Linked DNA regions of Sus scrofa. The protein of the gene in region 4 interacts with the protein of the main gene of each other region in a pairwise test. Links are inferred from orthologs where the notes say so. Each region holds a gene or a part of one and is shown on either strand. Other genes may lie near its edges.

Region 1 (6,041 bases), on a different chromosome or scaffold from region 4:
CGCGTGCCGCACCCATTAGGGCCAGAAGGAGTCGTCAAGAGAGACGGAAGACCCACACCCCCAGAGAGCCTCAGCTCTAAAAGAAAGGACCCAATCAGAGCGAGGGAACGTGAGCCTCCTGCCCACGGGGCCTCTGGCTGGCTCGTTCAGCTGTCCTGGGAACTGATCCCTCCACCGGCATCCAGGACATCCATCCAAGTTGCCCATTAAAAGTAAAGCTTTCGGAGTGCCCGCTCTGGTGCAACGGGACCAGCGGTGCCTTGGGAGCACTGGGACACAGGTTCGATTCCCAGCCCGGCACTGTGGGTTAAGGATCTGGCATTGCCGCAGCTGTGGCTTAGGGCTAGTCTGCTACTTGGATCTGATCCCTGGCCCAGGAACTCCACGTGCCACGGGGTGGCCAAAAAAAGAAGAAAAGAAAAAAGAAAAGAAAAGAAAGCAAGCAAAGCTGTCGAAGAGGGGCAAGTCCCAGGGAATAAGGCGCAGGACAGAGAGATGTGGACGTGACCCGGCAGAGCTGGCTGCCTGAAAACGCGGGCACAGACGCCTGCAGAAGCCAGAGGAGGGGAGGCCACAGAAGGGGTCTGACCCTAAGACCCGCGCCTCTAGTCCAGCACGCCCAGCCCTGCGAACACACCAGGCCTCCAAGCCGCGCTGCCCCTCCCACAGAGACCAGACGCAGATCAAGTGTGTCCACACGCTGAACTCACACCCACAACGGCGGGGAACACAGGACCTCGGGGCCCTGAGGGCAGGCAGACAGCGGGACAGCTGGCAGGTCTGTGAGATGGCCCGTCTAGGAAGGCGCCCAGCGGCACAACACTCAGATGCCTGCCCTCCTAGACGGGCCAGTGTGTTAAAGACACTGACAGGACCTGTGGCCATCTGTCTGGCGTGCTCACTGTCCGTGCCCTACTGTGGACAAGAATTCAGGTTATGGGAGTTCCCTCCAGGCTGAGAGGAGACGAATCTGACTGGCATCCATAAGGACACAGGTTCCATCTCTGGTCGGCTCGGTGAGTTAAGGATCTGGCGCAGCAGTGAGCTGTGGCATAGGTCGCAGACCCTGCATTGCTGAGGCTGTGGTGCAGGCCAGCAGCTACAGCTCCAATTCGACCCCTAGGCTGGGAACTTCCATATGCCATTGGTGCGGCCCTAAAAAGCAAAAAGAAAAATTTAACTGTCACAAGGGACTAGCGACCACTGAATTAACACAGCTCGAAACTCAAGAACCAGGTGAAGAATCCGCACACTGTGTACTTTCTAAACTGGATCATCGCTAACACACAGCTGACAACATAACTCTTGGGGACAGTCTGGCAGGAGCTGCTTTAAATCCAAGCGTGCTTCCATGTTTGCAGCCACCGGCAAATCTGCAAAGTCTGCCCAAAGCGCTGCTCTGCTCCAGCCCCTGCCCCAAACCAGGCAGTGTTTCCCACGCTTTCATCATAAAGCAGACTCCAACCAAGTGCGTGCAGCAATTCGGGAAAGTGGTCTCACAGCGTGAGCTGTAATCTGAGCCGGCACAGGTGTGACATGGAACAAAGTCATTTAAGAGAGCCCTGAACAGCCTACTTCAGTCCCAAGAGCCAATAACATGCTTGAGCTTCCATCTAGGGTGTGGGCAATCAATTAATCCAACCAGCCTGCCCAGAGTCTCCCCACCCCCGGGGCATGGGTGGAGGTGCGCCCAGAAGTTAGCGAGCTGACCGAGGGCTGGCGGGTTGGGTTTCCATTCCCTGCTCAGCATGGGAGGATCCCAGGGACACCAGGACCAGGCCAACACTCCTCCACCAAAGCCCTGCTAGGCCCCACGGCACAGGCCAAGAGAGGGGCTCCCCGCCGCACTCCTTATCTGTAAGGAGAAGAGATGGTACCACCCAAACCACAAAACCAGATGCGCCATTCCCAGCTGACAGAGACGTCTGGACGTGTAAGCAGGGCCTTCTGTTCCAGGCCAAAGGTTGCAACCTGAACACCCAGCACGACCAGGCAGGTAAGGGCACTGAGTCGGCTGTCAGGTGAGGAGTGATGAGCACCTGGCCTGACCAAAAAGAGCCACCATGCAGCTTTCCAAGGAGTTTCTCGTGAAATCTTTCCATCGCCAGGCTTTGGCAACTCATTTCAATCCTCTTAGAAACCGAGAGTCACAGTCGAGGGAGGACTGGATTCAGCCCGGTGGGAATCCTGGTTTGCAAACTTCGTTTTGAATTAACTCCTGTCTCAAACCAAAGAGAAAAAAAAAAAACCCAACATCAAATCTATTGGATGAGTAGAAGCCTAACTGCTGCTAGCACAGCCCTGGGTGACGTCCGGGGCAGGCCCAGCCGGCCCCTTCCGTCTGCCTCCAGGAAGGAGGCGCGCTCTCTCGCTCTGTGACACCGAGTTTTCTAAACGGGTTATTTCTTATTCCTAAAGGACGAATGTCTGCAACACCGATCTTGAACACGTTGGCAAGATTTTAAGGCCATGTGGAAACCACTGAGCTCACCTCTTAACTTTTTATTTTTATTTATTTATTTATTTATTTATTCTGTCTTTTTGCCATTTCTTTGGGCCGCTCCCGAGGCATATGGAGGTTCCCAGGCGAGGGGTCGAATCGGAGCTGTAGCCACCGGCCTACGCCAGAGCCACAGCAACGCGGGATCCGAGCTGAGTCTGCAACCTACACCACAGCTCATGGCAACGCTGGATCGTTTACCCACTGAGCAAGGGCAGGGACAGAACCCGCAACCTCACGGTTCCTAGTAGGATTCGTCAACCACTGCGCCACGACGGGAACTCCACCTCTTAACTTTTTAGAGCTGGGTCTAAGAAACATACCAGGTGGACGCTGGGAAAACAAAGATACCTACGTGCTTGCCATTCATTCACTGCTTCTTTTCCAAGGCAGAGGAGCTGAAGAATGGACAACGTTGGGTGACGCTGAGCTCAAGCATAAAATGCAAGTGAACACAACTAACAAAACAAGGCAAGAGCAACAAACATGTGACGGAATCAGTCAAAGAAAAGGAACAACGCAGAATAGTTAAGCGTCAGAACAGAGAAGGAAAGGGAGAAAAAGAAAGAACTTCGCTGTATTCCAATCTTCACAGAAAAGAAACGAAAAAGAAAAGCGAAGGTCTTGCTGACCTCTACTAGGCCACTCCGGTCCTAAGCGAATGGTCAGGGCAATTCACACCAGGTGACTCCCCCAACAAGCACTCTTTCCCAAATTTCTGGTGGGTGAACAGCTTCTAGTGGCTTCCACTAGCTAAACTGTTTTCTAGGAGCAAAAACTGTGAACTCGACACGAAACACGACAACTACTCCCACCTCGTCTTCTAGAAATGAGTCCTCTAAATCAAAATCCACCTTGAAAGAAACAAGCCCCTAGCTCCCTACTCGTAACACACCCTTCGTTAGGAAAGGTCACTGCAAAGGACTTCCACGGCAGGGGCGCTCGCAGAGAAGCCTCCAAAGTCCCAGGAATCACCCCCGGAGAAAAGCGGCCGGCTTGGAGCCCGGAGGCCACAGAGCGGAAGGCGGAGGCCCCGGTAAACGTGCGGACCGCACCGCGCTTCCCGCACCGACCCGCGATGGGAAGGCTTCCCCTTCCCGCTCCGTCCCGGGAGCCACCCCTCGCCGCGGCCGAAAGAACTCCCCGCGCGACCAGGCGGGCGGGCTCTGGTGCCGCTCGGCCCGCGGCATTCAGGCGGGCCCCGCGGCGGCCCGACGGTGCCCGGGCTGCCGTCGCCCCTCCCCGGGCCCGCCGCGGAGGCCGCGGAGGCCGGAACCGGGACCCCGCGCGGCCGGCGGATGCACCGGGGAGAGCCGCGCGTCGGAGGCAGGGGCAGTGCTGCAACCCCAAGGGCGTCGCCGGCTTCCCGCCCCGCGCCGCCCGCAGGGAAGGGAACAGCGCCCGTCTCACCTCTCTCGCGCGGGGCCGCCGCCGCCCGGGCCGAGACGCCTCCTTCCCCACGCGGCCATCTTGGAGACTCTCCGCTCGCGAAAGCCTCGCGCCGGGCGGCCTCGCGACAGCGCACGGGCGGGAGGGAGATGTAGTCCGGCCGCCGCCCCAGACAGAGCCCCCGGCTGGGGCCGGGCCCCGCGGGACCACAAGGTCCACAATGCACCGCGCGCAGGCAAGGCCTGCCCCGAAGCCGCCCGGGAAACGCAGGCCAGCCCAGCGGCGCGGAAAGCCCACTTCCGGGCTCGACTCCTCGGCGCCCCGGGCCCTTCCGGAGGGCCTGCCGCTCGAGGTCACCGAGGGGCCGCTCCCGCTCGTCCCCCACATCCTCGGGAGGCTAGGCACAAGCGGCTCCCGCCGCCACCGAGTCCTTGCTGGCAAGCCGTCGGCGGGGAGGGTCTGGAAGAGGAGAAGGGGCCGAACTTAACGTGTGGCGGCGGCTGGGAGAGACCGGGCTCCGCGCGCATATCCCGCTCCTGTCCGGCCGCGGTGACGAAAACGCAGTCCAGCCCTCGGCCCCTGAGAAGGCAGTGCTGGCCCATCACCCCGCCGACGGGGCCCTGCCTGGACGCAGCCGCGACGGGCAGGCGGCGCAGCCCGGTGACTCCTAAGCGCTGTTCCCGCGGAGCCGGGGCCAGTCCGGGGGTCCCTGCAGCCTTTGAAGTCGCAGTCCCTCAACTGCTCTCCACACAACGTGGCTGGACGTATTAGTTGGCCCCATAACTGTTTGAGCCACTGTCGTGCGGAAATCCGCTCCGGGGTCAGAAACGGAGAAGCGCGGCCCCTGCTCTCAGCCCTCAGGTCTGGACGCACCGGGCGAGCCGGCGCCCCGATGCGGCTCCCCCACCGAAGGGTCCCCAGGATTTCCTTGCAGTTCGCATTCGCCAGCAGAACGGAACGTTTGAGGCCGTTCCACAGACCCTCATTACCTACCAGACGCCGCTCAAGCCCGTCAGGGCAGCCTTGGAGCCCCTCCGTTCTTTGGAGGCTGCTCTCCCCTCCAGCTTCCGTCGCAAATTCAGAGCTTCCTTGCTGTGGCTAAAATGCTTTTCGGTCCCTGAGAAGTACCTGCTCTTCCTGTTGGGTCACAGCCCACCTCCAGGTGCTGGCTCTGGACCCTTGTGAGTCGTCTGTTTCCTCTGGACCAGTGTGCTGATGCCGAGGGTTTCCAGGGATTCTAGAACAGGAACTGTGAAAAATGGGGGTGAGCCAGTTCCCGCTGTGGCGCAATGGAAATAAATCCGACTAGTATCCATGAGGATGCGGGTTTGATCCCCGGCCTCGCTCAGTGGGTGGGGGGTCCGGTGTCGCCCTGGCTGTGGTGTAGGCTGGCAGCTGCAGTTCTGATTCGACCCCTGGCCTGGGAACTTGCATATGCAGCCCTGGGCGCAGCCCTAAGAAAAGTAAGTACATTAATAAAATGGGGGTGATTTTACCTCTCTTGGTCATTGTCTAATTAGGAAAAGAAAAATCCATCCTAGATATTTCAAGCAAAAGGAATTTAATACAAGGCGTTGTTTATGGATGTGTTCGGAGGGCCAGAGCAGCTGGGGGGCAGTAAGGACCCCCACAGGCTGGTGACTGAAGGGAGCAGCTGTGGCCCCTAAAGCTGAAGGAGCAAAACTGTTGTCCTGATTCTTGCTGCCAGAGCAGGAGCTGGGAGCTGGGTTTGGCAGTGAGCTCGATGGGTGTGTTGTGCTGTAGTGGAGCTTTCACTGCAGTGGCAGGAAATGGTCAGCCAGCCAGGAAACAAGAACAGTCCAAGAAGTGATAGAGGGTCAGAACGAGAGGGAGGGACAGGATGAGAGTGCCCAGGGAGGCGGCATCAGCCTTTCCTCCTGCCTAGAATTTGCATGTGATATCTGGAGGGCAGCAGCCATTCTGTGACCACGAGGCAACAAGCATGAGGGCAAAAGCCACCACATGAAGGATGATACGAGGAAAGATGCAAAGAGCCCGGGCCTCTCGGGACATCACGGCACCACAGCATGAGACCTAGACCTTCGTCCTCCAGACTTGGTGCTGCTTAAGATGAGGGAAATGCCACACGAGTTGGCTTTTTCTAGCTTCTGAACACGTCTAGCTAAAACAC
Region 2 (6,026 bases), on a different chromosome or scaffold from region 4:
TGCAGGTTCAATCCCTGGCCTCACTCGGTGAGTTAAGGACCCGGCATTGCCATGAGCTGTGGTATAGGTAACAGATGTGGCTCGGATCCTGCATTGCTGTCTGTAGCTGTGGCATAGGGAAATAGCTGTAGCTCCGATTTGACCTCTAGCCTGGGAACTTCATATGCTACAGGTGTGGCCCTAAAAAAAAAAAAAAAAAAAAAATTCTGAGCTGTAACTTCCTCACTAATAAAACAGAACTGATGTATAGATCTAGGATATAACACATAAGTTAGTACTCTAAAAACTGTAACACTCTAAACATTAATTACTGTTTTAGTGTGAGCCAGTATAGTGCATGGAAGCTTTGTGAATAGGGTAATTAATATGCTATAGGTAAGCCTTGATGATTTAGCAGGGGATTAGAAATACATTTCAGAAAGCAGAGATATGGTAGTTATCCATTCTGAAGGTAAAAAAAGTGGTTTGAGGAGTTTCCATCATGGCACAGTGGAAACGAATCTGACTAGGAACCATGAAGTTGCAGGTTTGGTCCCTGGCCTCGCTCATTAGGTTAAGGATCCAGCATTGCTGTAAGCTGTGGTGTAGGTCGCAGACACAGCTTGGATCTGATGTTGCTGTGGCTGTGGTGCAGGCCAGCAGCTATAGCTCCAACTGGACCCCTAGACTGGGAAACTCCATATGCCTCAGGTGCAGCCTTAAAAACAAAAACAAACAAACAAACAAAAGGTGGTTTGACAAAGTTTGTGTATAGATTTCAGCATTAGTACTTCCATTGTTAAGTATGGACTTTGTTTCTTAAACTCTCCCAACCTTACCACCACACTAGATGATTAAGTTTAAGTGAAAAGCTAAATTGGTGTGCCCTCAAATACTATTAGAACACTGGTACATACCACAGCATCAAACTGGTTATGGTACACTTCTGCTTGGCTCTGCTCAATGTAGTGCTGTTTAGCATGAATAAAAGCTGGTATCCCCCCATATGCCCAGCCAATGATGCCTGCTGAAATTGCTGCCTTGTATATATCCTGAAGTTCTTTTGAAGTTCTCTGCTGTTCACTAAAACATCAAAAAGATAATGTTTATGGATACTGCTCTCCAAAAAACAGTATGATCAGAATTATCCCAAGTGCTAACAGGACCACATTTTTCATGATGGGCAGAACCAGTTAAATCCTTTGATGAATTAAATAATTATATTACAGTGGCTCAAATCTCAATCCAAACTAATACATGCTTTTAGAAATTAAGTTAGCGGATATTCTTGAGAAGGCAGTGACAAGAAAGGGACACAAGGGGGAGCTCCTGGATGTAATTAAGTCTCTTGCAGCTGGATACACAGCTATGTTTAGTTTGTGAAAAGTCATAGGTGGGTATACTTATGTAAATATACTTGTGCATTTTTATAGGTTCACATTATACTGCAATACAATTTTTTCTTTAAGGTGATTTTGACGACTGTTAGAACTCTACTATATCCCTGGAAACAGAAAGAATCTGTGAACTGAATGAAGGAAAACACATTTCCTTTTTTGAATTTTTAGATACCTTTGGCAATTACACAAACTAACGAGGTTTTAGGACAATGTATGTAAGAATGAATTCCTAGATGTAAAAAAAAAGAGTCAAAACTTTATCTTTCTGAATAATTTTTATGTAATACTCAGATGGGCTTGTACTATTAAAAAGCATCGAATGAGAAATCTCACTATGCAGTGGGCAGCGCAAACCAACATAAAATAACATGGAAAAGCTACCACTTCATTCAATCCATTAAGGAACTAGAACCCATACTGGAGCTTCCACTATACCCTCTGGAAATTGCGCTAACAAATAGCTAATTTTTTAAGTGTTAATTTCCTATAAATAATGGCCTTCACATGTAAGTAAACCACTAAATGGTAATTTTTTACATTACTAACTTGCTTTCTTCAGAGGCTGTACAAGTGTTTATCTAATTCTAACAGCCAGTTAACAACATTTCTGAAATCATGTAATCAGTGAGTTTTTATAGTTCTTGCATACATAAAAGGGATCACTAAATAAAATGTTAGGAAACTAATTCTTACATCAATAAGAAAAACTGCTATAATATGAACTTTATATATATATTTTTTTTACTTTTATATTTATTTATTTATTTGCTTTTTAGGGCCACACCTGCCACATATGGAGGTTCCCGGGCTAGGGGTCAAGTCAGAGCTACAGCTGCCAGCCACAGCCACAGCCACAGCCACGCCACATCTGAGCCACGTCTGTGACCTACACCACAGCTCACAGCAACACTAGATGCTTAACCCACTGAGCAAGGTCAGGGATTGAACCTATGTCCTCATGGATGCTAGTCAAATTTGTTAACCACTGAGACACAAGACAAACTCCTGAACTTTATATTTTAACTTTTATAACGAATAAGATAAAAAACATCATTTACATTAAAAACTGGTAGAACCCAGAAAGGAGAAAATATAAAAGAGCTTTAGATTTAACAAGTTGGGAAATGCATATGCTTTTCTCTTTTCCATCCTTTGAAAAATTCTATGACATAGGTGATACTTTTTTCCATTTTATCAATTGAGGCTGTAAGAAATTACATGATTAATCCTAACAGCTAAATGAATGGTGAAGAAACGGGGCACAGTGATGAAAAGGACCAATGGGATTGTGGTTCTGGTTCGTGTCATCCACTGCTAAGAGACTTGTGGCCAGATCACAATCACTCTGAACATTGGTTTCCTTATGCATGACTTAGTGGGGAGAATGAAAGTTAAACTAAATTATCTTTCACATTTCTTTCAGCTCCAACATTCTGTGGTTTTATAAAGCTGATCAAAATAACCCTTTTCTGTTATATACTATATAGGCTCCTTCACAAATATCTCAAATAAATTTTGGAAGGACCAATAAGAAGGGCGGCTTATCTTTAAAACAAAGATGATGAAACCTAAATAAAGTAATTAATACAATTCCACCAGCTCCCCTGCCTGAACTATCTCAGCAACATAATAAAGCTTCGACGTTAATTTAACCAATGTTGATAACACAGTATAGTATATAGTAAAGTACTTCATAAAAGGGCAAACTTTTTACCAGTAATTGATGAACGAAACAATGATGAAATTAATTATCGTGAGTTTTCCATTAAAGTTAATTCAATTTAAAGGGTTATTTCTTTTATTCTGAAACATCCTTATTTGTGAATCCAGCTAATTTCTTTATAAAATGATGAGACAATAGTTGCTACTATTTTTTATATATTCCTTATTTAGCAGAATAAAAATTTTACAACTCTTTCTGCTATCTCTGAACTTCCATTTTTGCGCCGGGGAGGAGGGCTATTGGTCATAAACTATCAAAATTTGGGATCAAGTTATATAAGAAAAGGAATATTGCAGTCCTGCAGATGTGGGTTCTCGCGTCACCAAGTACCTTGGCCCAATTCTTCTAATCTGTAAAATCGAGGTAATTACACTAAGACTCTACTCCCTAAATATCCCTAAAAGCTCTGACATTCAATGAGGCTCACCTTTACCACCTGAAAACCGGCCTGTCAATCATAAGAACCACCTAGCCGCTATGTTAGGATACAAGCTTGGAGTACAAGCACTAGAACCCAAAATTCCGTTTAAAAATAAATCACACCACCCTGGGGTCCTTCATCCCGGATGACCCAGGTTTCAGGTCACCTCCTTCGTAGCCCCTCCCCACAGACCGTAGGCACTTTTACTCTTTGACAAACAGCTCCCGGAGTCGGTCCCATCCGGATTCCGGGTATCGGGCTTCCGGGACGCAGGAAGGCAGCTTAAGGTCCTCCGCAAGACCCTTGGAATCGGTGGCCACAGCTCCAGCAGCAAAGACCCGAGGGAAAGGATTCAGCGCCCTGCAGAGCAAGCTCCGTGGAGCCGGCGGCCGCACCTCCATGGTCTCCTCAGAACCTGCCGGACAGCTTGGGCGCTCAGGGCCCCAAGGTCTCCGGGAGGCGCCGTGGGAGAAGAGCGAAGATAACTGCAAGAATAAGTGACGAATACTGGTACACTACGCTCTAGCAAATTCGCGGCCGTAGCGGTAGCCACACACCGTGACAGACCTGCACTCCCAGACTAACCTCACTTTGGAAGCCCTTGGACACACGAGACAGGAAGTCCCGCCCCAACCAGGGCAAAGGCTACTGGGCTGGGCGAGGGCGGAGCCGGAGCCGGAAGCACTTCCGGTTTGAGGTGGGACGGATCTTAGAGGTGGCAAGCTGACTCGCCGGAAGTGAGCTGGCGGCGTGTAACAGCTCTCTGCACCGTCTGGCCCCCGCCTCCTGCGCCAGTGAAACTGTGTGGGGCAGTTTCCAGGCAACCAGACCGGGTCATTAGCTGAAGTAGGTTAGCGTATTTTATTTTTTATGTAATTTTTATTTTTCCATTATAGTTGATTTACAGTGTTCTGACAATTTCTAGTGTAAAGCATAATTACCCAGTCATACATAGGCTTTTTCTCACATTATCCTCTATGATGTTCCATCACAAGTGACTCGATACAGTTCCCTGTGCTATATAGCAGGATCTCATTGCTTATCTACTCCAAATGCAATAGTTTGAAGTTAGCTTATTTTAAAAAGCAGGAATGTAGATGAAGAAAGTGCAGTGTTCAACACAAATGGGGTACAGAAAGGGGAAGGCAGTTTGCAGAACTACAAGCCCAACCCACCCTGTCATAGCTCGGGAAACCTCTGAGGTTGGGCGAGGTCTATTCTCGATTTCAGAAAGTTAGGAGGCTTTTAAGAGGGGTCTTGTTGCCAGTTACACCCAGATTTCCAGAACATTTTTATGTAGAAGAATCGGTTCAGGGCTTCACAAGATGGGTTTTATTCACCTTGGTTCATATAACTACTCTTTCTTAAAAGGCAGGACACTTTCTCTCAGATGTTTGCTTGGTAGTCCAGCAATAATTTCCTGTCACTACAGCCTCTGCTATCATATGCTTCAAAGTATAATTTTATTAAAATGCACGCTTATGAAGGAATTCCCACTGTGGCACAACAGGATCCGCGGTGTCTTGGCAGCACTTGGGAGCCTGGTTCTATCCCTGCCTGGTTCCTTAGCTATGGTTTAGGTACTCGGATCTGATCCCCAGCCCTGGAACCCCATATGCCACCTCGGCCAAAAACAACAACAAAAACAAGACAGCTCGCATGTTAAGTATTTTTAAACTGATTTGTGTTTCTTTTTTTTTTTTTTTTTTTGCCTTTTTTTAGGGCTGCATCTGCAGCATATGTTAGTTCCCAGACTAGGGGTCAAATCCAAGCTACAGCTGCTGGCTTAAGCCACAGCCACTGCAACGAAGGATCCGAGCCAGGTCTTCGACCTACACTACAAGGCAGGGCAATGCAGGATCACCAACACTGAGCCAGGCCAGGGGTAGAACCACATCCTCATGGATCCTAATTGGGTCCGTTAACCCCTGAGACATGAAGGGAACTCCTGATTTGTGTAATTTCATCTGATCTTTGCTAGGAATCATACACATTGTCTTCGCCAATTCCTACCCATCATTTATTCCTTTCTAGGAATAATTCAAAATAATTACAATCTTTAGTAGGATACAGTAAAGAGAATTCCAGAATTTGATAGCTGGAAGTCTCTAGATATGGTCCAGAGAAGTGACTGATAGAGTGACTAGCTGAGTTAGTCTAATCACAGTGCCAGGAAGAGCTCTCTAGTGTCTGGGAGAGAGGATTAGATTCAGTTCCCATCAGAGCACTTACTACATTGCATCATGATTTCCTCTTTGCTATGTGTCTCAATAGACTAACTTTGAGGTCAAGAGACTATGTTTATTCATCTGTGTCTCCAGTACCTACCATGACTGGCACATAGGTTGTCGAATGAAAAATTCAGATCCCCTGACTCCTGGCTCTGACTCCAGGTTGCCGTTTATCCCATATAGGCAGAGGTAGGCACCAGACTAAAATCTTTAGGTCTGAAAGCCCAAGGAAATGGCTGTGCAGGCTCTCTAGTCTTCATGTGGAAAATCTA
Region 3 (6,354 bases), on a different chromosome or scaffold from region 4:
CACTCCTGGCCTGGGAACTTCCATACGCTGCAGGTGCGGCCCTGAAAACCAAAAAAAAAAAAAAAAAAAAAAAAAAAGGTGTAAAACTGTTTCCTCAAGCCACCCCTTGGCGCCATTGTGACTCAGACAGGCAAGCCCTAGGGAGTACACTGAATGTGGGCCCAGCGGACCGAGTTGAAACAGTGGCTCTGGCAGTGCAGAGCCCAGCAGACAAGTCATCTCCAGCCTGCCCCTTGTTTCTGTCATCAGGGGAATGACACCCACCCTACTTACAGCACCCTAAGTGTTATAGCCAAAGCCCTTAAGAGCTCAATCCCATATGGAAGTTCCCAGGCTAGGGGTCAAATCGGAGCTGCGGATGTGGCCCACACCATAGCCACAGCAACACCAGATCCCAGCCGCATCTGCGACCTATACCACAGTCATGGCAACACCAGATCCGAGCTGCATCTGCAACCTATGCCGCAGCTTGTGGCAACACTGGTCCCTTAACCCACTGTCTGAGGCCAAGGATTGAACCCACATCCAAACAAAGACAATGTTTGGTCCTTAACCTGCTGAGCCACAATGGGAACTCCACAGAGAATTAATTTTTTTAAAAAATCACCTCATCTACCAGCCCCAATATTCTTTTCCCATAGGTGATTTCAACATTCCAAAGCAAGGATATAAATTCCACATAGCAGGTGGTCCTTTGGATGAAATCAGTGAGCTCCCTGCTGAAACTCCATTTCCCCCCTGGCTCCAGAGAAAGGGGTCACTGACAGGTGGCAGGATTGGGCCCTTTTGACCCCGCCCAGCTTTTCCATTCCATGGAGAGGCACGGGGGCGGGGGGGTAGCCACGGCTGGTGCCTGGGGAAGCTGGGAGCTGCGGCAGATCTCCTGGTGCCCAGCCAGCAGAGCCCACCTGCCCGCCAAGCCCCGGTCAGAGGAAGCAGCTCTGAGCTTGCCCTGGACACTGACCCAACTCAGCCATCTCCTCGCCCAGGGCAGGAAGGGTCCAAGCTGGAATCTGCCAGAGGGCTCGCCAGCTCCCTCCCCACCTTAACCCAGGGGCTAATTCCTCCTTCCTCACTTCTTCACCCTCCCAGGTGAACTGGGGGGAAGGGGGGGCACACAGTGTGCACTGGATGCACTGGGGCAGAGAGGAGCTAAGAAAGCCTCAGGCAAGAAACAAGGGGGTCCTGCCAGGTCTGGTGGTTCGGGGGGGGCTCAGGTTCCAGGGTGGGTCCAGGCTTGGTGAGTCCTTGAAGCTAACGTGGTCTGGGGGGCCAATTCCCAAAAAAATAACAGACATAACAGAAAAAGCTCTTTCTTCTGCAAATGGTACAAGACCACGAGCCCATGTGCACACATTGCTAGGGCCCCTCCAGCGCTTCGGAAGGGGTCTGGGTAGCACAGGAGGCGTCCTGGAGAGGAAGCAGCAGCCTGTCTGTCCGGGACAGGGGGACGACTTCCAGGACATGGGACTTTCAGTGCTGAAGCTGGGAAAGTTCTGGCAAACCAGGGTGAACTGGGACTCGATGATGCGCAGGCTCTATTAGCTGGAAGGTGAAGCTTAAGGCCTGCCAGACCCCGCGGTGGGTGCAGGGAGCAGGAGGGCGAACCGCAGGTCTTTACGTGCCTCTGCTGTGTGTCCCCAACGTCTTAAAAGGTCTCAGCGCCACTTGTTTTTGAAAAACACTGGAAGGAGGGAGTAGCCCCTCCCTAAGTGGTGGGATCACATGTGCTTTTTTTTTTTTTTTTTTTTTTTTTTTTGCGGTAAGACACACAACATAAAATTTACCATCTTCACCATTTTTAAGTGCGGTTCAGGGGCGTTAAGGACAAACGTATTGGTGTACAACCATCACAGGTGATTTAGGTTTTTCCAGTCATCAGCAGATATTACTTCTACGATCAGAAGAAAACCTACCTTTTTTTTAGAGCGCCCATCAGCCTGTATCGGGTGCCTCTGCTCACCCAAAGGTAACGAGCAGGACTGGGAGACTGTTGGGGGGCTGTGGGGGGGACTTGGGCATTGGATGGGGGTGGACCCCAAAAACCCTTATCCTTTCCAATCCTGAAATCCCAGGATGCCACACTCCTTCTGACCCGGGGAAAGCGCTGTGCTTCGGAGAGAGGGATGTGGGCTCAAACCCTCCATTGGCCCCTTCCACGCTCCGTCACCTTGGGCACCTCTTAGCCTCAGGTTCCTCGAGGGTGACACAAGCTGCTGGGGGAACCAGCTGAGTAATGGTGACAGCAGGGCTCAGTTACTTTGCCGCCTGGAACGTCCTCCCGCACCTTGATGTGTGTATATGTCCCTGTCCTTCCAGGCCCAATGTGACATCACCTTCTCCAGGAAGCTTCTGATTCCTCTCCTGGCTCTTGCGGCCTCTGCCTGGGGGTACCTGGCTCCCTTCCCAGCGGGACCATAGGCTCCCTGAGCTCCGAGGGCTGGGCTGCGTCTGAGTCATACTGCCTTCCCTGCAGGCCTAGCCAACTCAATAAAGCTTTGCTAAATGAAGCCATCAGAGGAAGAAGTGACCCGGGCAGACGGAACGCCCACACCTCCTCGCAAAGCCAGTGACTTCACCCTCCGGGGCCAGTGGCCCAGGGGCCGGCAAAGGGGAGCAGAGCACAGAGCCAGCCCACCTGACCAGGCAGGTAGCTCTACCTTTGCCAAGAACCTGCCAGGGTCTCTGGGGAGCTAGAGACACCAAAGATGAATGAATTGAGCGCTACAAACCCTCCCGGATGTACCCAAGGTGCCAGGCCCTGTGCCAGCCCTGGGGACCCAAAGACTAAAGAACAGGGCTTCCCTGAAGCCCTCGAAGGGCTCCCTACCTGGTGGGCACTTGGAGGAAAGGATTTCAATGGGGCCACACTCCCTGTGGCACATAAAGGGAAGGTAGCTCCCCTCTTCCTCGGGGAGGTGGGAGATAAACATCCAAGCTGTCCCACCCATCACACCCTAATACGGGCCTGGAAACCCAGGAAGTGAGGGAGCTTCAGCACCCCACCAAACACAGCTGGCTTCACGCATAGCCTCCTGGGGTGGCCGATGGTACCCCTGCCCAGTGTCCCTTATCCAGGACCCAGGCCTGTAGGGGCAAGACCCTCTATTGAGGGTGTCTGGGCAATGGCCAGCCAGCCTAGGGAGCCCCAGGTACCCCTCCCCAGGCAGCAGCCAGCCTCCTTCCCCTGGGGTGCAGCCCAGGCCCTGTGAAACCCCTCACCCCCTGTGCTGACTGCTCGCGCCTCCTCTCCCAACCCCAGGTTTGAACAGGGATCCTACTCAGTACTGGGGGGGTTGGGGGCAATTCTGCCTGAACCGACCCCTCAGCTCCGCACTGTGGGCAGGGGACCCTTCTCCTGGGCCCCTCCCTCCTCTGGCATCTAGATTTTGACACGGATTCCCAAAATAGCAGAGCCCAAGGAGGTCCCAAGGAGGCTCCTCCCACCGCTCTACAGCTCGGGAAACTGAGGCAAGCGAAAGGAGATGACGCGCTGCCCACCTCGCAATTTAACTCCTCGTTTCCCGTGAACATTTCTCGGGTGGTTTCCAGCCCAAGGTCACGCTGCGGAGAGGCAGTTCCCGGGCAGAAGCCAGGTATCCAGCTGCCGCCGCATCGCCCCACACGGTCCTGGCTAAGCCACGAAAACCCGGTTTCCTGCCCTCTCCTCCCTGAACGCCCCTGGCAAGCACGCGTGTACCCCCCGAGAGACGATCACGCCCTGATCCACCCCCCGAAAAATGCCACCCGAGACCAGGGTTTCGTCCCCACTGTCGCCGGTCCGCCCGGGCGGCCGCGCGCTACCAGAGCAACCAGAGCCGCGAGGTGCCTGGTCGCGGCCTGGAGGTCACGGCGCTGGGGGGCGCGCACGATGGGGGGACACAGGGAAGACAGGGCTCGGGGAGCAGGAGCGGGCACCCCCGGCGAGTGCCTGGACCCCCGCGCGGGCCCGGAAAGGAGATAGGAGTGGGCGCCAGTACCCCGGCGCGACGGCTCCCTGCCCGCGGCCGCGCCCCTGTCCCGCAGTCGGTGGGGTCGGGGTCTGTCCGGGCGCGCCGCCCTTCCCAGCGCCCGCACCCCGCCCCACCCCCGGCCTGGCCGGGCCGCCCAGCCGTCCTTACCCAGGACACGACGCGCAGGATGGTGTGCGGCTGCCGGACCAGGGTGTAGGGGTCGAAGGCGCCCCCGGCTTTGCCCGCTCCGTAAGCACCCCCTTCCATCGTGGCTGCACCCGCGCGGTGCCCCCCGCTCGGCGCGCGCCGCCGACCGGTGCGCGTGCGCGGCCCCCCCCCACCGCGTCCCCTGCTGGGCGACTGGCGCGGCCGAGGGCTCCACGAGGGGGCGTCGTGCGCGGAGGGCGCGTGGCCGGCGCGGCGCGGCGCGGACGGGGGGAGGGGCGGGGGCCGCGCGCGCCCTCGATCGCGGGGGCGCGGTTGCTGCGGACCCGGTCCAGGGCGCTCTTGTTTCTTGCGCGGTGACCTCTTTGCTAAGTGGGGGCGGCGGGGGCGAGGGGGGCCGAGGTGTGTGCAGAGGGCTATGTGCAGCCAATGCAGGACGTGTCCACGGTCCGGGGGCGGCCAGTCTACCCGTGCCTTGTTTCCTGTTGCTCTGTCTGTCCCCAATTATAGGGAGCGGGGTGGGGGGGGCGAGTTTATCATCCTCCTCACGGGGTGCTTGGCACACAGCAGAGGCCGCAGGAAGATTTCTGGAATGAATGAACCACGAAGGAATAACCCTCTTCTCAGAGCCTTCTAAAGCGCAGCTCCCCCCGCCCCCAGGACCTTTCCACCTGGCTTTCACACTGACGTCATGTGGTCCCCGCATCTGCTCACCCCCACCTCCAGCCCGCAGGGCCCGAGACACCTGGGAGAGGCTGAGGCCGAGGAAGGGCAATAAATTCTTCAAGAGACCACCCCCATCCCCGTCCCCTCCCACCGCCATTCCCTCCCCCTCCCCTCCCCTCCCCTCCCCCAACCCCCAGCACAACACCCTTTTCCTTAATCCAGTAATTATGGCATTATTTGTTCATTATCTTTGTCTGCTAGTCTTTGGATGTTATCTACCTTGTTCACTGCAGTAGCCGAGGGCCGGGCACGCAGCAGGTGCTCAATAACAAATCCTCGTCCCCATCACCCCCATCACCCCCTCAAAGCTTGGCCTAAGAGCTCCAGGTTTTGTGGAAACTGAGGCTGGCTGGAGGAGTGTTCGCCACAGTGGGACTAACACCTTCCAGGTCTGGCTCTTACGATGACCTGGAGTTCTCGGGGCCTCTCTCTGTGTCTCCACTGGTTCCAGGAGGGTTGAACAACGGTATCTCTAGAGGCCTTTGCAGCCCTGGTGATGACAGAGCATCCGGCATTCTGTCATCATGACAGGACACTAGATCACCAGGTCCTTAATGAGTGGGTGTGAGGACACCCCTTTTTTTTTTTAAATTTTTTTTTCAGGGCTGCACCTGAGGCATATTGGAGGTTCCCAATAGGGAACCTACCATACGCCACAGCCACAGCAACGCAGGATCCCAGCTGGGTCTGCGACCTACACCAGAGCTCATGGCAACAATGGAACCTTAACCCATTGAGCAAGGCCAGACATCGAACCCGCAACCTCATGATTCCTAGTCGGATTCGTTAACAACTGCGCCACGAAGGGAACTCCCACATTTTTTTTTTTTAATGGGCAAAAGATTTGAACAAGCACACTTCGCCAAAGAAGATATACAGGTGGGAACTAAGTACATGAAAAGATGTGCAACATCAGGGTTCCTGAGCCTGACTAGGAACCATGAAGTGGCAGGTTCGATCCCTGGCATCGCTCAGTGGGTTAAGCATCCGATGTTCCCGGGAGCTGTGGCATAGGCTGGCAGCTGCAGCTCCCATTTGACCCACAGGTGTGGTCCTAAAAGACAAAGAAAAAAAAAAAAAAAAGAAGCATGGGAAAATTTGGGGGGTATGATGGAATAATTCTTTATCTTGTTTGTGGTGATGGTTACACAGTGACAATGTAGATTTGCTAATACCTGCAACAATGTCCAGAAAAAGAGTGACTTTCATTGTATTGAAGTTATATCTACTTTTTTTGGCCCATGAAAACTTGCTAAGTTATTTTCCTAGTGATTGTACACCCACACATGTGGAAGTTCCCGGGGCCAGGGACTAAACCTGAGCTACAGCAGTGACCCAACCCGCTGCAGGAACAATGTCCAATCCTTAATCTGCTGTGCCACAGGGGAATGCCTATATCTAATTTTTTGGGGGTGGTGGGTGGTTTGTGGGTTAGGGCCGAACTCACAGCATGTGGAAGCTGCCAGGATTGAATTGGAGCTGTAGCTGCCAGCCTAGGCCACGGCAACTC
Region 4 (6,201 bases):
CTGTTCTTAAGAAAAACATGAAAGCCACCAGGCTCCATTTCTTACAATAGGGTGACTTTTCTTCCTCTCAAAAGTGGACACCGATGGGAGTTCCCTGGTGGCTCTGTGGGTTAAGGATCCAGCGCTGTCACTGCTATTGCTCTGGTAACAGCTGTGTGCATACAGATACTAATATGCCTTTTAGGGTGTGTGTGTGAACAGTTGCACTTCGCGGCTGTACTATTTTATTTTCTTCTTTCCCCTCCTCTTCTTAGTTTACCTCTTATCTTTCTTCCTCTTCTTAAGATATCTCAAAAATGGAATTCAAAGGTCAGTAGATATCAAGAAGACACCAAGATTATAAAGGGAAATTCGATGGCCAGTCTGTAGTGGGTTAAAGGATCTGGTGTTGCCACAGCTGCGGCGTAGGTTACAACTCTGGCTGGGATCTGATCCCTGACCCTTTCCTGCCCTGAGAATTCCATATCCGGTGGGGCAGCAAAAAAAAAAAAAAAAAAAAAAAAAAAAAAAAAGCAACTACAACTATTTCCACTGTATCCTCTCGATTTTCCTATAGATTGAGATCAGAAGGAGAAAAAGCTTTTTCAGAGACTTGAAGGTAACATAAGGATGAGTGATTGTTCTTAGTTGGAGTTCGTTTGTTTGAGATAACATTTTTTGCTTTTAACATTTCAATATAAGAGCTAATTTAACGGGAGTTCCCCTTGTGGCACAGTGGTTAACGAATCCGACTAGGAACCATGAGGTTGCAGGTTCGATCCCTGGCCTCGCTCAGTGGGTGAAGGATGCGGTGTTGCCGTGAGCTGTGGTGTAGGTTGCAAACACGGCTCGGATGCTGCGTGGTTGTGCCTCTGGCGTAGGCCGGTGGCTATGGCTCCAATTTGACCCCTAGTCTGGGAACCTCCATATGTTGTGCGAGTGACTCAAGAAAGGGCCAAAAAAAAAAAAAAGAGTTAATTTAACAACATTTGCAAATTCATGATAACTTATGATCACCCATCATTTGACAGGTCTAAGTGTCCAAAAGACGGTTGTCTTTCTGTCCTTTTGCTTTGAATTTTAAAAATAATCTACTGAGAATTATATACATTGTAAACCATCAGATTTTTATTAACATTTGATGGAGATTAGGGAATGCTATGAACCATGGCAAATACCAGCTTTCCTCTGTTAATTATTTCAAAATGTTATTTTAATTTTCATGTACTTTTTAAGGCCTGGTACATTTTCCCAAAAAATGGGAAGAACAGTATGTGATTTTTTTTTCAGTTCATGTTGTGATTCTGTCAGAGGCAATAACAGCTCCATTATACCTTTTTTTCTGAACAATAAATAATGAAAGAATAGAATTGGTAAATTGCATTTCTTAATTCTAAATGTTGAATTTAATTTTAAATTCAGTAGAACAACTAAATTTGTTAAAAGTGTACTCCTTTGGTTTGAAGAGGTAATATTAATTCATCAGAGATGAACTAATTCCCTCAACCGCCCCTCCCCAATCCCATCCCACCTCAGTTTCAGGGCATGCGTAGCTTACTGAAGCCTGAGCTAGTGGAGCCACTTGATGTGGCTTCAGCCTTTGAACACCTGAAGCCAATTCAACGTTTATGGCTTCTTTTCATTCCCAAAGGTCTGTGACCTGGGACTTCTTTTTATCTTTATTCATTTGTGGCTGGAATCAGTTCCGTATTTATTATACCCCATTCCCTAGAAGACTCAGATCTCCTTCCTCCCCAATGGGGCCGCCTTTGCCGGATAGCATTTGCAACAGTTTAACAGTCGTGTTTCTAAAAATTGCCCTCATCCAAGGTGAATGCAGCTGGCAGAATCAGCCAAACAACAAGGACTCCAGTGATTTTTCTAGAGGAGTCACGCGTCCCCCTCCCTAAAATGGCCACCATTTTTCCTAGAACGTTTCCTCAGAAGGTGAACGAGGCTTAAGATGCACTGCAGAACAATGGGACTCAGGTGATTTTCTAGAACATCAAGCCTCCCTCCCTCTCCAACCAGGTTGCCTTCCCTCAGTAACCATTTCCAGAGTCTAAAAATCAGGTTTCTAAAACTTTCACTCAACTACAGTGAAAGTAGCTTAAAGGATTGGCTACAGAGCATGAGACTCACATGATCCCCATCAACAGGCCGGTTGTCCTCTTCTGCAACCTGGTTGCCTTTTCCAAGTAACTTTTGCAACAATATAGCCACCATATTTCTAAAGCTTTCCCCCACCGGAGGTGAATGTAGCTGAAAGGACTGGCTACAAAATGATGGCACTCAAGGACTCACTTCATTCCCTAGAGCTGCTCCAAAATGGCTGCCTTTTCCCAGTATCCTTTGCAACAGTAGAAGCACCATTTTTTCGAGAACATTCCCTCACTCATATGGAGTGTAGCTTAAAGAATTGGCTACAAACTGCTCAGATGCAAATGACTGGATTTCCTAATGGCCATGGAGCATAGCAATCTCACTTGCCTGAGTCTTGTCCCATCCCTAAGATATACAGATGTACATATGTTTATTTGTACGTATATCTCATTTGTATATGCTTATATATTTTTATATTTTATATACTTCTACATAGAAATGCATTTATATACAGGAATAAAAACAAAATATAAGATATATTGGGAAAATACAGATATATAGATATACATATGTGGTGATAAATACAGATGTATTTATTTATTAATAAAAGAAAGTGTTATTTCACACACTTTAGAGTTGCACAGAATACGGTATATGTGTACTCCCCAAGCAATGTGTAATTCAGCATTCTGTACTTTCAATACTGAATTCCTAGCCTAACAATAAATAGTCCTGACCTCTTGTTGGACCATGTGGCCCTCATTTCCCTGCCTACTGCACAGGAGCTTCCTCTCTCACCCCTAATTCAACATCTGGCCTTGCTTGACCTCACCATCTTCAGACTTAGATCCCCTATAGCTGCTACTCTCAAACCCAACCATGTACCAAGGTCCCCATATAGTACCGTTTTCTTGGACTTGTTGGCAGCCAAATTCCAAGCTGCAGCAGAATCGGAAATCTTTGAATCCAACTTCTGACGGCTCTGAGAAGCACCCAGGGACCGGATTCCATGCTCCAACATTTCTAGGGAGAAAAATGGAGGTCCCAGGAACACACATACAGCTATACCAAAGCTTCATGGGCACAGGACACACCGGAAAAGGGACAAGAACTTCTCAGGAATCACCAAACACCCATTCACTGATATCCACTGGCCAAACCCATGTCTCAGTTTCTTCATCCATTCAAGATGTAGCAGGTATTTACCGAGCATAAAGCTCTGGGCTACATGACTAAAGAGAGGACAACGGCCAGGAGATAAGATGACAGCAATCAGGAGACTGACCGTGTATTTCTAGGGAGAATGAGGGTGGCAGAAAATACTCTGTCCATGTAGATTCAGATCAATAAAAACAAGACAGAAAGAAGGGGCTACGTCTAGAAAAGTCAGGAACAACACTACGACACAGACCTGAAAGAGTCCATCCCTGAAAAATCTAGAGAAGCCTGCAAGGTATATGGAACAGCTATAGCACAAGGGCTGTGAGGCAGAAACAATCTTGGGATGTACAGTAGGCCAGCAGGCCACATAGGCAGGAAACAGCAGGAAATACATGGAGGAGGTGACCTTGATCAGATCTTGTAGATCATGGTAAAGACTTTGGATTTTACTCTAAAAGGCAGGAGAAGGTATTGGAGAGTTAGGAGAGAGAAATCATTTGATTGATCTTGTAAACTGAGCCTTGGGAATGTTTTGCAATAGACACCTCCCTCATATCATCAATCCCTTTCTCTCCAACTCCCCTGTCACTCAAGCCAGAAATATATGTGTACGTGAACCAAGGCCACCCACACACGTACCCCCAATCCATGCATCAACATACATGCAGATATGAGTATCTGCCAAGCCACTCATGCACAGTTTCCCACACACACACTCACACACACACACATACACACACACACACACACACACACACAGGTGCAGGCACTCAAGGGAAGGTCCATTTCAGGGGCTCCTCACCTGCTATCAGCACTTGCTCGCGGCTAGGCTCCTGGCTTTTAGGAACCAGCTCTTCAGCCAAGGACATTTCTATCTTCTTGGTGTTAGTGGAGCCTCCTGCCATCACAGCCAGCTCTTCACTTGTAAGCGGTGGCCAAGGATGCACAGAGAGCAGAGCACGGAGGACGCTCTGGGAAAATCAGCTCTTTGACGGGTGGGAGCTCAAGGATATATCTGGACATGGGGGTGGAGCCAGACTCCCCCTCTGCACTCAGGCCTTGGACCCAGCACCTCCTGTTCCTGCTGTATCTTGCTGGCTGGGTTCGAGGCTTTGTTCCCTGCTACTCTGTAAGTAACTTAGGGGAAGAGATAAGGCTTGGAACATTTGTCTGTGAGAACCTCCCTGGTTCTTGGGCCACCCAATTTGGTCCCACAGGGGCACGGGCAGGCTCCACGCTGCATCAATTCTAGAAAGAGGTGGGGGGGGGGTCAGTACCCCAGAGCCAGTTTTTGGCCAAAGCAAAGTTACATCCCGGGTCTGTCATGGCTCCTGCAAGGCCGTCTCTGGCCAGTAATCCACCCCCCTCAGAAGGCATCTTCTGTAGAGCATGCCCTGCCTCCCCTCCAGTCCAGAGTTCCCAGGCAGGGCAGATGGCCTTTTGAGGCCCTGGGTCAGACTGCACAGGAACCCTTAGGGCCAAAGGAGGGAAGGCAAGAGAGTAGGGACCTGCCTACAGCCCCTAGAGCCCAGTTATTCCATCAAGCACTAGTCTATGTGTTGCTATCAAAGTCTTTTGTAGCTGTTGTCCATACCTACAATCAGCGGGCTTGAAGTAAAAGATGGGCCTAATCCTCGATGGTGTGGGTAGGCCTCGTCCAATCAGTTGAAGACCTTAAGAGAAAAGAGGTCTCCCAGAGAATTAATTCTGCTCAAGACTGCAGCATCCACCCTGAAGATTCCAATGCGCTGAACTGCCCTGCATATTTTGGCCTTGCTAGCCTCACAATGGCATGAGCAAATTTCTTAAGATAAAATTTTCCAGACACTCACACCCACATGCATATGTACACACACATACACATATATGTATCCTATTGCCTCCATTTCTCTGGAGACCCCTGCCTGACGCAACCACCAACGATGAGCCCCCAAGCCCCTGGGGGAAGAGGAGGCTATCTTGTTAAAGAAACCCAGCGAGCTCCAAGGAGGAAGAGGGGAGGGGGAGAGGAAGGGAGGAAGGAAAGGGCAGGGAGAGGAAAGGGAGGGGCCAGACTCGTTTAGAGAGGGTGGCAAGACCTGGGCTGCCTGACCCCCTCCCCAGCCCCATCTGTCCAGCGTGGGGAGCAAGCTCTCTGGATCAGATAGGATCAGGTCGGAGCGGACAAAGGCCCTGCCTGCATTCCTGAGGGCCCTGGAGAAGTGCCTCCCGGCTCCAACAGAGCAGCTACGATGAAATCCAAGCCTCCTGGAGGCCACCTTACGAACAGAGAAGTGCACTCTGCAGGACCTAGGAGCCTGGGATGCAGGAGCTGTGGGTTTCTGGCAGGCTGGGGATGCCAATTGATTTGGAATCTCAAATAAACCACAATTTTTTTTTTTTTTTTTTTTTTGCAGCATATGGTCTGGGCAATGTTTGGGATGTGGATAACTGAAAAATGATTCAGGGCTTATCTGACATGCATGTTTAACTGGGTATCCTGTATTTTATCTGGCAACCCTAGGCCCTGCCCCTCCTCCCCATGAGCTGAAGAGTTGACCTTGAGCAAGTCTTTCCTTTGGGCTCCGTCTCCCCATTGGATGATGACGCTAATAATCCCTTCCCTACAGGGTGCTTGATTTTGAGAGCAGTCACGTCAGCAGAGTGGGACACGTGAGGTTCTCAAGCACGACTGTGCACTGTTGACCTCAGATCAGAATCCCCTCTGACTGCCAACTGGCCCTGACCGGTTGGGGCTTCCTGGCCCTGGGGCAATGGGTCCAGGCGCATGCAGAAGCACTGCCCCCTGGTGGCAAAGGACCCGATCACTCAAAGCCACGCAAAGAGGATGGGGAGCCTTCTTTCCCAGTCTCCAGGCCCCGAGTGCCACCCAGAAACCCTGGCATCTCATGACCCTAGCATGTCTGCTTCTCTTGGATTGGGGACCAGGGAGGGCTGGGCTGTGAGAGATGAAATTTG

The links.
Region 1: the proteins of FATE1 (region 4) and TMEM11 interact in binary tests that used the Homo sapiens proteins (3 or more experiments, as listed by UniProt). The two-hybrid records come from large-scale screens. The link is inferred for Sus scrofa from reciprocal best matches to the Homo sapiens genes FATE1 and TMEM11.
Region 2: the proteins of FATE1 (region 4) and TIMMDC1 interact in binary tests that used the Homo sapiens proteins (3 or more experiments, as listed by UniProt). The two-hybrid records come from large-scale screens. The link is inferred for Sus scrofa from reciprocal best matches to the Homo sapiens genes FATE1 and TIMMDC1.
Region 3: the proteins of FATE1 (region 4) and SYNGR1 interact in binary tests that used the Homo sapiens proteins (3 or more experiments, as listed by UniProt). The two-hybrid records come from large-scale screens. The link is inferred for Sus scrofa from reciprocal best matches to the Homo sapiens genes FATE1 and SYNGR1.

Annotation. Positions count from the first base shown.
Region 1 is NC_010454.4:61,358,622-61,364,662, forward strand, and holds the start of TMEM11 (transmembrane protein 11, mitochondrial), read right to left. Parts: upstream 4,241-6,041; 5' UTR 3,970-4,240; coding exon 3,911-3,969; intron 1-3,910. UniProt on the Homo sapiens protein: Plays a role in mitochondrial morphogenesis.
Region 2 is NC_010455.5:140,754,459-140,760,484, forward strand, and holds the start of TIMMDC1 (complex I assembly factor TIMMDC1, mitochondrial), read right to left. Parts: upstream 4,241-6,026; 5' UTR 4,109-4,240; intron 4,009-4,108; 5' UTR 3,925-4,008; coding exon 3,731-3,924; intron 1,063-3,730; coding exon 897-1,062; intron 1-896.
Region 3 is NC_010447.5:8,897,951-8,904,304, forward strand, and holds the start of SYNGR1 (synaptogyrin-1), read right to left. Parts: upstream 4,241-6,354; 5' UTR 4,221-4,240; coding exon 4,122-4,220; intron 1-4,121. UniProt on the Homo sapiens protein: May play a role in regulated exocytosis. Modulates the localization of synaptophysin/SYP into synaptic-like microvesicles and may therefore play a role in synaptic-like microvesicle formation and/or maturation.
Region 4 is NC_010461.5:123,104,098-123,110,298, reverse strand, and holds the start of FATE1 (fetal and adult testis-expressed transcript protein homolog), read right to left. Parts: upstream 4,214-6,201; 5' UTR 4,149-4,213; coding exon 4,046-4,148; intron 3,106-4,045; coding exon 2,987-3,105; intron 1-2,986. UniProt on the Homo sapiens protein: Involved in the regulation of endoplasmic reticulum (ER)-mitochondria coupling. Negatively regulates the ER-mitochondria distance and Ca(2+) transfer from ER to mitochondria possibly implicating it in the regulation of apoptosis.